3 linked regions of the Ovis aries genome follow. The protein of the gene in region 3 interacts with the protein of the main gene of each other region in a pairwise test. Links are inferred from orthologs where the notes say so. Each region holds a gene or a part of one and is shown on either strand. Other genes may lie near its edges.

The links.
Region 1: the proteins of KIF9 (region 3) and PRMT6 interact in a two-hybrid assay, tested with the Homo sapiens proteins (2 studies listed by BioGRID and IntAct). The link is inferred for Ovis aries from reciprocal best matches to the Homo sapiens genes KIF9 and PRMT6.
Region 2: the proteins of KIF9 (region 3) and ZBTB8A interact in binary tests that used the Homo sapiens proteins (3 or more experiments, as listed by UniProt). The two-hybrid records come from large-scale screens. The link is inferred for Ovis aries from reciprocal best matches to the Homo sapiens genes KIF9 and ZBTB8A.

Annotation. Positions count from the first base shown.
Region 1 is NC_056054.1:84,387,548-84,391,602, reverse strand, and holds PRMT6 (protein arginine N-methyltransferase 6), read right to left. Parts: upstream 2,832-4,055; 5' UTR 2,809-2,831; coding exon 1,681-2,808; 3' UTR 532-1,680; downstream 1-531. UniProt on the Homo sapiens protein: Arginine methyltransferase that can catalyze the formation of both omega-N monomethylarginine (MMA) and asymmetrical dimethylarginine (aDMA), with a strong preference for the formation of aDMA.
Region 2 is NC_056055.1:235,067,211-235,071,496, forward strand, and holds the start of ZBTB8A (zinc finger and BTB domain-containing protein 8A), read right to left. Parts: upstream 2,832-4,286; 5' UTR 2,685-2,831; intron 1-2,684. UniProt on the Homo sapiens protein: May be involved in transcriptional regulation.
Region 3 is NC_056072.1:52,384,417-52,387,977, reverse strand, and holds part of KIF9 (kinesin-like protein KIF9), read right to left. Parts: intron 2,965-3,561; exon of another isoform or gene 2,784-2,964; intron 2,555-2,783; coding exon 2,486-2,554; intron 1,664-2,485; coding exon 1,559-1,663; intron 372-1,558; coding exon 316-371; intron 1-315. UniProt on the Homo sapiens protein: Essential for normal male fertility and for progressive motility of spermatozoa.

The sequences.
Region 1 (4,055 bases), on a different chromosome or scaffold from region 3:
TAAACAGTGGAATTCACTCAAAACTGTACACTAAAATGCTAATAAATGTTCAACATAAAATATAGTTGACTTTAACATAAGGAACCAATTTGTAACTCTAGTTTAAACCAGGCCTAAATTGCTATGACTGTACCATTTGCATAAGCTAACTATCCTAATACCAACAGTGGTGACAACTATAAATGTATTGCAAGTCAAGGATCTTGTAAAGCTGATGATTTTGTACATGTATAGTTCCCTTACTAATGGCAGATCTCATGTGTTGATACCAAATTTTAGCAAATTAGTTATATTTAAGTATATTAATAAGTGATGAATAAAGAAGAAAAAACTGTTGCAACAGAGCTGCTTCAGATCAGATTTTCACACCTGCTTTCTATTAGCATACTAAAGCTACTAGTGTAAAGAAACCATACATTAAGCATAGTTGATTATCCTTAAGCTATGCTCTGTAGGGGTTATAACACCATTTTTAAGAACAATACTAAAAAGGCAAAAGTTATAACTCAAACAGTACACAAGACTTCTTACTTCATCTATAAAAATAGAGAATGCCAGTGCTTTATTTGCCAGAGATGAGGAGGGAAACATGGGTAAAATAAATTTGATAACATAACTCACATTACAAATGATTTTCCTAAATTCACAACTTTCACATTTAGCTGACCTAAATAAACAGAAAACAAACAAAACACTAACAAAAACATTTTCACTTGATGTTAGTAGGCCAAATCACATGATCCCCCTGAATGAGGGATTTTAATTCTCGAGCTGGGAAAATATTTTCCTTACTTAAATAATTTACCCAAGGTGATAAATAAACCCTTGGACCAAGTTCAGAAGAAATCGCCTCTACTAGTTTGTTATAAAGCACACAAAATTTTTACTATGGAACTTACATGAAATTTTCTTGGTTAAATCTTAACAGTAAAGACAAAAAGTCCATACGACTTTACTGTATTTCAGGTCTTTTTCTCCAACACGTACCCTTCTAGATTTCTTAGGTATGCTGTACTAGTACGAATGAAGTTTATTTCACTTAATGGAGTAAGGTGTCATCAACTTTAGCATCTTAAGGAAGTAGGTGTTATTTAAACTTTACCCTCATTCACCTCCCCCACGTTATCAGTAGTAAAACTTATTAAAAAAAGAGGACAAAATACTGTAGTCTAGAGGCACCTGGGAAGAGAGGGAATTCAGAAAATGAGAGAATATGGCTCTGGAGTGATATCCCGTCTTATTGGAAATACATGGAGTCTAACTATAAACCCTTTTTCCCTTTCCCTGGCTTTAGACTTAGGGTGTGAGGTGTCAGGGAAGTGAATGGAACCTTCACAAACTGATAATTTCATACCCTTTTCCCCCTTTAATTTACAAGAAACAAAAGAAATAGAAAAAGGAGTGCTTGGTACCACGTGCTTTTGAGGTTTAACGGGCCCTTAATAAACACGCTGTTTCGGTCGTGTCAGGGGATCGAAAACACTTTTTAATAAATATCGCCAGAAGAATCTCCACGAAGCGAGACTGAAGTCACTCTCCCTCCCCAGGAGCCCTGGGGTAAAGGGAGACGGAAGATAACGCTCCCTACTTGCACGTGAAATCTCCTTTACTCCGCCGACCAACCCTCCGCCTCTTCCGTGCCTGGCTTCCTTGGGAGGTAGCTGGGAGAGAAGACCACGCTCAGTCCTCCATGGCAAAGTCTTTGGTCTTTTCCTCCTGGTCGCCCACTTTGTAGCGCAACAGCACCCGCAGGTGACGGTGGTGGTCCTGGGAGGGCAGCAGCGTGATCTCTCCGGAAACATCCGTGTCTTGCTCCACTTGCACCGGCTCGTTCAGGTAGAGGAGCGCCTGCTTCCAGTGCGTGACGGGGTGAAAAGGCGAGGTGGAGAGCACCACGGGTTTCTCCGAGTCCCCTCCGGGGAAGGTCACCTGGAACCAGATGGCAAAGCCGTGCAAGGGAGCCGAGCCGTAGCAGCTGAAGCGGAAGCGACCGCCCACCCCGGCCTCCAGCTCCTGCTCCAGGCCGGCGCGGGCCAGCTCTAGCCGAGCAAAGCACTGCGGCCGGGCCAGCACATCCTCGCCGGAGAGGCCTTGCACCACGATTTCTGAGTGGCCCATGAGGCAGCGCGTGGCGAAGCTCTCCAGGCAGCTCATGTCCACGCCGTAGAGTTGCTTCATCTGGCTCCAGAAGCTTAGGCGCAACTCCAGCATCTGGTCGCTGATGGGCGCCACGAAGAGCTCGGCGGAAGCCGGCAGGAGAAGACCGCCCTCCTTCAGCCACTTGGTCCGCGCGTGGAGCACAGAGCTCAGCATGGACTCGTGCAGAAGTCCGCAGCCCATCCACTCGCTCACGATGGCATCCACCTGCTCCGGCAACTCCACCGTCTCCACCGGTCCCGGCAGGACGTGCACCCGGTCCTCCAGCCCGTTGAGCCGCACCACTTCCCGGGCCTGTTGCCAGATGTCGCTGGCCTCCACCGCGTACACGCGCCGGGCCCCTGCCTGGGCACAGAAGATGCTGAGGATGCCGGTGCCCGCGCCCACGTCCAGCACGGTCTTGCCTCTCAGCGCTGCCCAGTTCCGCAGGATGCCCAGGCGGTAGGCATCGGTGCGGACGCGGTCGGCAATCATCTCCTCGTGGACCGATACGTCCGAGTAGCACTGGTAGTACAGCTGGTCCCGCTCCCGCCTAGTCCTCCGGGGTCGCGGCACAGCCACCTCCAACTCTCCGCCATCTTCCTCTTCAGTTCCCTCCCCTCCTTCGCCGCCGCCCCCCGACTCAAGCTTTCTTCTCTTGGGCTGCGACATCTTGGCGGCTTGGGCCGACTCCCGGCGTGCGTTGCGCGCCGCGCCTCGGGCTCCAGGAAGCGGGGCCTTATGGTAGTTGTAGTGCGCGCTCGTGCCTCCCGGTTTTGGCAGGTCGCCGGGCGAATGTCAGCCAGATACCAATGATCCGTACTCTGCTCTTTTTCTTGCTCCTTTGGTGTCTTGGAATCCCTTTTCCATCCCCTGCACTCACATTCCATGGTTCTCTACGTTCCTTCTCCTTCCCTTAGATTGTTCAGTCTCTTTTGCTTTCACGCCCTTCGTGACGTGGACACGCCCACTTAAAACTGAAAATCCATGTTTTGTTTTGTCCAACTCCCAGATTTTTTATTATATAGAATTTTCTGGGCGGCACCGTGCACACCCTACTGCCTCATCTGGACAGTTGCAACTCTTAAAGCTCTCCAAAAGTGGAGATTTGGAAAATGCACTACGTGTTTTTCTTCTCCGTTTTCAGGGGAGGTAGAATGCAAAAGGGAGAAGGCAGCGTCACCCCACTCCAGTACCCTTGCCTGGAAAATCCCATGGACGGAGAAGCCTGGTAGGCTGCAGTCCATGGGGTCGCTAGGAGTTGGACACAACTGAGCGACTTCACTTTCAATTTTCACTTTCATGCATTGGAGAAGGAAATGGCAACCCACTCCAGTATTCTTGCCTGGAGAATCCCAGGGACTGGGGAGCCTGGTAGGCTACTGTCTATGGGGTCGCACAGAGTCAGACACGACTGAAGCGACTTAGCAGCAGAATGCAAAAGTGTAAATGAAACAAAGTAAAAACCCAACAGTGTAAAACCCTGGTCTGGATTCCAGTGGGACCACAAATGAACGGAATGATTAGGGCAAGCTGTGTAAGTACTCTTGCCTTCAATTACCCATGCACCTTCCAGCAACAAAGAATCTTCAAGGCAGTTGAAAATTAAGTTTCTGTTCTCTATTTTAGGAGATTAGTTATTTGGCTCTTAGTTCTGCCCGGTAATTCTGTGACTCATTCAAGGCTTAAATCTTGGAAACTTCCAGTCTGAGGAATAGTTGAAAAGCAACTGTTGCTAGGTGTATTCTGGTAGCTGATTTTTTTCCCTCCATAGGTAACGGAATCCTTCATCACCTGTGATCATTTCTCTGCTTCAACTCACTTTTTCCTGCCTGTTTCCATGTCTGGGCTAGATTGGTAATCCTTTTTTCCTCTTCTGTGTTCCTTTTAGTCAACTATCAGCTGTTAACCTCTTCCCT
Region 2 (4,286 bases), on a different chromosome or scaffold from region 3:
GTTAAAAAAATAAAAACCATAGTTGAGGAAAGTCAGTGAGACGATGGCATTTAAAGTAAAGTCCAAAGATGGTAAGAGAGTTATTCAGATATCTGGAGGAAGGGTGTTCCAGGCAGATGGAACAACAAACGCAAAGGCTCTGAAGAGAAGCAGGCAAGGAGGTTGGAGAAACATCAAGAGCTGGGGAGGACTTCCCGGGCACTCCTGTGGTTAAGACTCAGTGCTCCCAATGTAAGGGGTATGGGTTGGATCCCGAGTCGGGGAGCTAAAAGAAATGTAGAAAATGGAGGGCTGGGGAGAGTAAGGAAAGACGGAGTCAGAAAGGAACAATAGATTGTGGGGCAGTAGGACATCCCGGGGCTCACCTTGTGGCTCAGCTGGTACAGAATCTCCCTGTAATGCGGGAGACCTGCGTTCAGTCCCTGGGTTGGGAAGATCCCCTGGAGAAGGGAAAGGCTACCCACTCCAGTATTCTGGCCTGGAAAATTTCAAGGACTGTATAGTCCATGGGGTTGCAAAGAGTCGGACACAACTGAGCGACATTCACAGGACATCGTGGGACCAGTTCCTGTGGACTTGGTAGACTCTTTAGGGCCTTGGGCTTTTGGTCTGAGTAAGACGGGGACCCACTGAAGATGAGGAGCCACTGACCAACTCTAAGCAAAAAAGTGACAGGAACTTTCCTCAAGGGGATCAAAACACTCGCACCAAATTCTTTATTATAAACAGATAGGTCACTGAAAAGGTTAAGCCTATTAGACATAAATTCCATTTTATCTAGAAAATAAGATTTAAATGATACAGGATGAATCAAGTATTACCCTATCTTACAAAGTTTGGGGGCTCAAATCATCATCAACAGCAGAGCTGGTGATTTCAAGGCCACAAGATAAGTTCTGGCAGGCTGCTCTCTTTCATGGGGAATTCAGGACTTGAAAGAAGCCAAGGTACTCAGGATGCCCCGGTCTAATATTTCACAGCCTAACCCAAACATGCCCATTTGGCCGGGGGTGGCAGGTTAGATTCTCACTTCCCATTTACCATTTGTGTGGCCAGGGGCACTACCAGGAATAAAGGTATCTGATTCCTGGTTATACTCTGCCTGACAGCCCTTCAGTGAAGGGCTCTTGCTCCAGGGGTCCCACAAATTCAAGCCTTATCTGAGACTCGGGGAAGATTAGAGAGGAAGTTTTGAGCCTAAGGTTTATTCTGCTGAGGATTTTAGACTTGTTTCTGATAAGATCGGTTAAGGGCTTTAGAGCATGGGAATGATATGACTTGCTTACTTAAAGAATATGGAGGTGACTTTAGGAGGAAATGAAGAGCAAGAACAGGAGGCAAGGGCGCTGGAAGCCTGCCACTGTTCACCTCCTGGCTTAACGTTTAAATGCTTAATGCGTTTCCTCACCTAGAAAGTGGAAAAACCACCGGCCTGACTAGATGGTTGTTTTATGCGAAAATAAGTGAAATAATTCATATAGGCGAAAGCACTCCATTTACTAAAGTTCTTCAAATATAGAGGCTTATTAAGAACAGAAGTAATACTGATGTGCGTAGTTTAAAAGCCCAATAGGTGAGAATCTACCGCTTGCAAACGCATTTTGTACTAAGCCTAACATAAGGTTATATGTCTACTATATTTCAATTTTAAAAGAAAAACGAAAGCCGGGGGCGGGGGGGAACCGCCTTTGAAAGATACAGAACCTGGCTACTGGCACAATCAATAATAAATAAGCGCATTTGAAGGCGAAGGTGCCAAACCGCTATTAACTTACAAAAGATGCCGTCTACATGGGCAGAAGGTGCGTATGTGTGAGTCCGTCATAAAACAGTAATTACAGCACAATATTAGTTAGGTATAGTAAGTCTGCTTGGGTTCTAAGCCCGGATCTGTCGCGTCACGATATAAAACCAAAGGATGGAAGATGTACGGAGAAACTCGGACTCCTGGCCGCAAGTGACAAGCCCCAGACCTCGGCCGCCCCATCCGGCGGGCCACCCATCACTGGCCGCGCAGCCCGAGCCCCGCCGGCCGCCGACCCTCCGGGAGTCTGCGGCGCCCGACGGCTCCAGACACGCCCGGCACCGGCCCCGCGCCGCCTTCCCGCCACCGCCGCCAGGAGGCTCCGCGCGCCTTCCCGCCTTTCCCCGCGCCACGGCCGGGCCGGGCCGGGCGGCCAGGCGGGCGCGGCGCTCGGCGGGGGCGGTCGGGCGGGCGCGGGCGGCGACGGCGCGGCCATTGTCCCGCAGCCCCTCCCGGGCGCGCAGGCGGACAGGGCCGGGCGGCAGGGCGGGCGCGGCGGCCGCGCAGTCCGGGAACCGGTGCGCCCCGCCGCCGCCGCCCGCCTCTCCTCGCCGGCCACCGCAGCGAGGCCAGGTTCTCGGCGCCGGCCGCCCGGCCGCGCCTCCTTTGTGACCGTCTCCAGCCCCTCAGACCGGCGCGCCACCGCCGCTGCGCCCGGGGCTGCAAATGGCGCCCGCTCGCCTCTGCGCCTCCCGCCGCTCTCCCAGCCCGGGGACGTCTGGGGGCGCAGCGCCCGGGCCGTATCCCGCCGCCACCGCCCGGGGAGCAAAGCCCGCGGCGCCTTCGCCCGCGCCTCCGCCCGCAGCGAGGCTTGCGGGCCCGTGCGAGGCTGCCCCGACGCCCCGCCCGCCCTCCGCCCGCGCGGCGCGCAGCCACTTACCGCGGGCCGCGGCGCAACGGCGGGTCGCGCGCGCGGGCTGGGGGGAAGATTCCCGGTTCTCGGCGGGGGAAATTCCCCCTTTCGAAGCCGTTCCTTTGCGCCCCAAAACAAGTAGCCCCAACGTGAGAGAAACAAAAGGTATTTGCTGACGTGGGCGTTGGACAGAAACGCCCGAGGGCTGGGGACACAATTAAAGGGGCAACGCACAGATTTCAGGCACCAACCAGCAGCTTCGCCCACTCCCCCTGCCCTTCCCTACACCCCGCTGCACGCTCCAGAGGCGCTGGGGTGCCCAGATCCCCGAGCAGTTGGCTACGGAATCATTATTTAGTCAGGAGCTTAAATTTTAAATTGTACTTTACGTTGGGAAAGGCGCCTCCGGAGGGCAGAAGGGCTGGATTTCTAGGATCTGGGGAATTTGGTTTAGGAAAGAGGGAGGGACTTAGGCGTGCCCACAATTACTGTATAAGTACATGTGACATTATTGTACTTAAGTTTAGCAGCGTCAAATGGAAGAGATCTGTACAGAATTTTTCCTTTTATTGAGGCACTCATTTTAGTCGGGGATACCTTTTCTAAACCTCTACAGGTCACAAGCATTGCATTTTCTTTGAAGAGGCTAACTCAAGAAGCTGAGATAAGAGAAAATAATTCTTGGTTAAGTTCAAAGAAAATAAAAAACTAGTAAGAATAGCAGATTTTGTGTTTTCAAATACAAAAATTCATTGTAGATCAAGTCTTTCTTCTGACATATTTATGTCCCTAATATTCAGAGTTCAGACGTCAGATTATGTATTTGCTAAAATCTTTATAATCACTGAATTTTCATTGTTACTATAGAAACAATTTTATAAATTAGTTTTCTAGTTCCTTATGTTGGAGTAAAGTACTGAAAAGTTCTGTGATATAGTAAAACAAACAAGACTCAAAATTTCAAAATATTTAGTCTTTGATGGACTTCTCTCATGTCATATTCAGTTATACTGGACAAAGTTTGTTACTTTGGTTTCATCATAATTAATTATGTGCTTTGAGGACCATATTCTCTACTAGAAGGGCTTCCTTAGGAGCACAGTGGTAAAGAATGTTCCTACAATGCAGGGGATGCAGTTTTGATCCCTAGGTGGGGAAGATCCCCTGGAGAAGGAAATGACAACCCACTCCAGTATTCTTGCCTAGGCAATCTCATGGACAGGGGATCTTGGCAGGCTACAGTTCATAGGATACAAAACACAACTATCTCTTAATATCACTTCTATATTACTCTCCAGTTATTTTGCTATTTAGTTCCATTTCCTCACATCATTCTGCACAGATCATTAAAAATGTGTTTGAAAACCATTAGGTATCAGGAATGTTGAATGTACTCAGACTATTTTACTAGCATCCCCATTGATAATTCTCCTAGATAGACCTGGGCATTGTTATAGAAAAGATTTTGGTGTTTTTTTTTTTTTTTTTTAGCTTTAATTGAAACTTGCAAAAGAGTTCTACAAACTTGTTCCTCAGTAGAGCACATCAGATTAGTGATAAACTCTTCGTTGCAAGAAAGAAATCAGTTCAGTTCAGTTCAGTTGCTCAGTCGTGTGACTCTTCGCGACC
Region 3 (3,561 bases):
ATCAAAACACCCTGCTCTGGCCACATAAAGACCTCCTGTCCAGTGAACAAACTCAGGAAACCAGGGACTGCCTCCTCTCTGCTTAGCCCTTAAAAGGGGGGCTGTCCCCACTTCCAGAGGAAGGGGAGGGTAGGAGGACCTGAGAGCTCAGAGGCAGACTGCTGGGATCACCCAGGGCTGCCATACCCAGAGGCCTCTGATCCAGCTCCGCGCACACCAGACAGAAGGCAGAGCGCCTGGAGGCCAGCACCCAGACCATGGGAAAGGAGAATGGCAGCCTGATGCAGGACTGGGTGGGTGTGGTGGCTCCCTTACCTCAGCACCATCCGGAACTGGTTGAACACCTCCTGGATCTGTCTGAGGTTGATTATCTGGAGAGGAGAGCAAGGCAGAGGTTAGACCAGGGGCACCACAGGACTAAGGCTGTGTCTGTAGAGAAATCAGGACCCCTTGACTAAGCCTTGGACCATGTGTCTCAAGAAGGGGACATGTACCAACACCCTCTCAGCAAAGTGCCAGTAAAGCCCTCCTCAAGAACAGAGAAACCCTTGATTAGTAATTTGGAAGCTATTTATTGAAGCTATTAAAAAAAAATCACCTTTTCTGACTGAAGATATATATAAAATTGAAATGACTCTAGTTCTTGAAGGTACTAAGAAAACATCTAAATAAAATTAACTGTCCTCAGCTCTCTCCTGCTTCCAAAAGGGTCCATTATGAACCATTCTGTGTGGGCCCAGACACATACACACACCTGTGGCTAAAGGGGAGACCATCGGCCTCTCTTGACCCCATTGCCCTCTAGCATTAGCCTTGACGGTCATTCTGGGGCTGCCCTTCCTAGAAAGACCAGAAGAGCCCTCAGCTGTCCCAGGCCTGCCTCTGGCAGCTGCTGACGATGACAGGCTGGACAAGGCTCTGGCCGTGAACCCCTGATGAGAGGCCTGCCAGCCTGTGCTCTGAAAACAGAATGCCTCTCTCCCCCTGAGAGCCTTCCCTTTGTGGCTACTCTATTCCTCCTTGGCCCACTCCAGCATGGGCCCTAGAGGGGTCCACCTTGTAGACAACCAGCATGACCATCATCCTTTAATGTCCCCCCTCTGCTGCCACAGACAAGCCCCTGAGGTGCTGCCTCTCAGTTCATCCCAGCCCGTTTCCCTCCCTACCGTACAGGTCAGACCACCAGAGTACACGAGCTTGAGCATTTTCATGATGCCACTCAGCAGGGAGACTGCTGAGCTCTGAGGTTCGACCCAGAGCAGCTTGGCTCTAGGAGCTGTACTGGTGGCCCCGTAATGGACCACCCCCACTGTATTCAAGGCTTGGACCACCTCCCCTGTGTTCAAGGCTGTGGGGCACCCACAGCCTTGCGACCCTAAACATGGATGCTGTGGCCTCAGTGGGCTGAAGGGCCCTGAGGCCAGGAGTCCAGCACCACCTACGCTATACCCACTGCACCCTCTCAGTGAGGTTCCCAGGCTAGCACAGCATACATCATGGTGTGGCCGGGAGACAGGCCCGGGCCAGCCAGACATGGGGGTCCTGAAGGGCTCCTTACGTCAATCTCTTCCAGTGTTCCCTCCAGGTACCTTCGCACCTGGGAGTTGATCTCCGCAATCTGGATTTCATCCATAGGGTCATAGTTCACGAGGGTACGGTTGGCCTTGGAGAAGGAAGAGGAACGTACTGTTAAGCTCCAAGCACCCGAGCCCAAGCAGGGTGGCAGGGACCATTCTGAGGACCAAAGTGGGGAGGCTGGGCAGAGAGCCTGGCTACCCAAGCCACTTTACTCCCTTCATCACCATGTCCTGGTAGGGAGGGCCTCACTCACAGGCCAGGTAGTCGGGTCAGCACGGGACAACCAGGTGGGGTAGGGAAGGAAAGGCTGCCAGACAAGGGCCTGCTCCTCCAATCTGGGGGGCTCTGCTGGCTGAGCCTCAGCAGACTGTGGGATGAGGGCCACAGGAGGGAGGGGGCGCCTCTGCCTTGAGACCCTCTGGACCATGAGCATGAGCTCAGACCAGCACTGGAGGTCTCCTGCTCCCCACCCCTACCTTCCAACTCCCTGCTGCCCCTAATAACCATCCAGCCTGTCCACCTCCCTGACCTTGAGCCGTCATCAGGCTGTCTGCCTCTGTACCCATACCTGCCAGGCCTGTGGCCCCTGCCCTTCATCCCCCTGCCTACTGCCTGGCTCTGCTCCCTGACCATCTGACAGCCCTGCCCACATCTTGTTCTTCCAGAGTCTCTGCCCAACAGGCATCCCTGATCCCCCAGGCCTTCTGCCCCCACAGTCTCTGTTCCCCCAGTCCCCTGTCTACTCAGCCCCTGGGCCCCCTGTCCACCCAGTCCCTCTGCTCACCCAGCCCACCCTCTGATCCACCCCTGCCCTGACCCACTGCCCCCTCCCACCTAGTCCTTCTGCCCACTTGGTACCCTGACCCCAGTCCCTCTAGTATTCCGCCCATCACCTCTAGCCCCTTACCAGGCTGTCATGGATGGCTAGTTCCTGCTTGAGCAGTGCTAGCTCCTTCTCCAGGTTCTTGACCATTCTCTGCCAGGGAAGCATATGGGGAGGCGGGGGTAGCAAGGAGGACAGTCAGAGAAGCCACTTAATAATTCCCCACCCTGTCCTTGGACATCCTGGCCCTTGCAGGCAATCTATGGAGTGTGATCTCAACATTTGGATGATTCCCTCCCAGCTGGTGACTTTTCCCCAACTGGGTGAGTTTAGGGTTTGAAGGGGTTTCAGCACTTCTCTGTCCTTTGCCTCTTACTTGCAGGGAAGACTGAGAACAGAGTCAGTATGGGCTCCACTAGGACCACCCTAAAGCCCAACTCCAGAAGCTCCAGCATACTTCAATCCACCACGGTCACTGCCCTCTCCATGCAGCCTGTGCCTCCAGGATGTCACCCTCATCCTCTCCAGCCACTACACAAAGCATCACCATTCCGCACTGACAGGTATGCCACCTCCATTTATTGCTGCTATAAACAATGCTGCAGAACACTTTGCTCTTACATCTTTGTGTAGGATAACAGTGACCTATGCGCTATGTCAGAGAAGGCGATGGCACCCCACTCCAGTACCCTTGCCTGGAAAATCCCATGGACGGAGGAGCCTGGTAGGCTGCAGTCCATGGGATCGCGAAGAGTCAGACATGACTGAATGACTTCACTTTCACTTTTCACTTTCATGCATTGCAGAAGGCAATGGCAACCCACTCCAGTGTTCTTGCCTGGAGAATCCCAGGGGCCGGGGAGCCTGGTGGCCTGCCGTCTATGGGGTTGCACAGAGTCGGACACGACTGAAGCGACTCAGCAGCAGCAGCAGCAATGCGCTGTGATCTGCCCCATTACTCCTTGTCTACGCTTCTGCCCCTGCTCATGCCACTCCCACCAAATGAGCACGCTCCTGCCTCTGTGCTGCCTGTCCCCTCTGCCTGGGACATGCTTCTCCCAGGTATTCGCATAGCTCACCTTCCTCAAGTCTCTGTTCAAACACTGCTAAATTAGGCACCCCTCAGTTACCCCATGTAAAACTGCAATCCCCTCCCACTC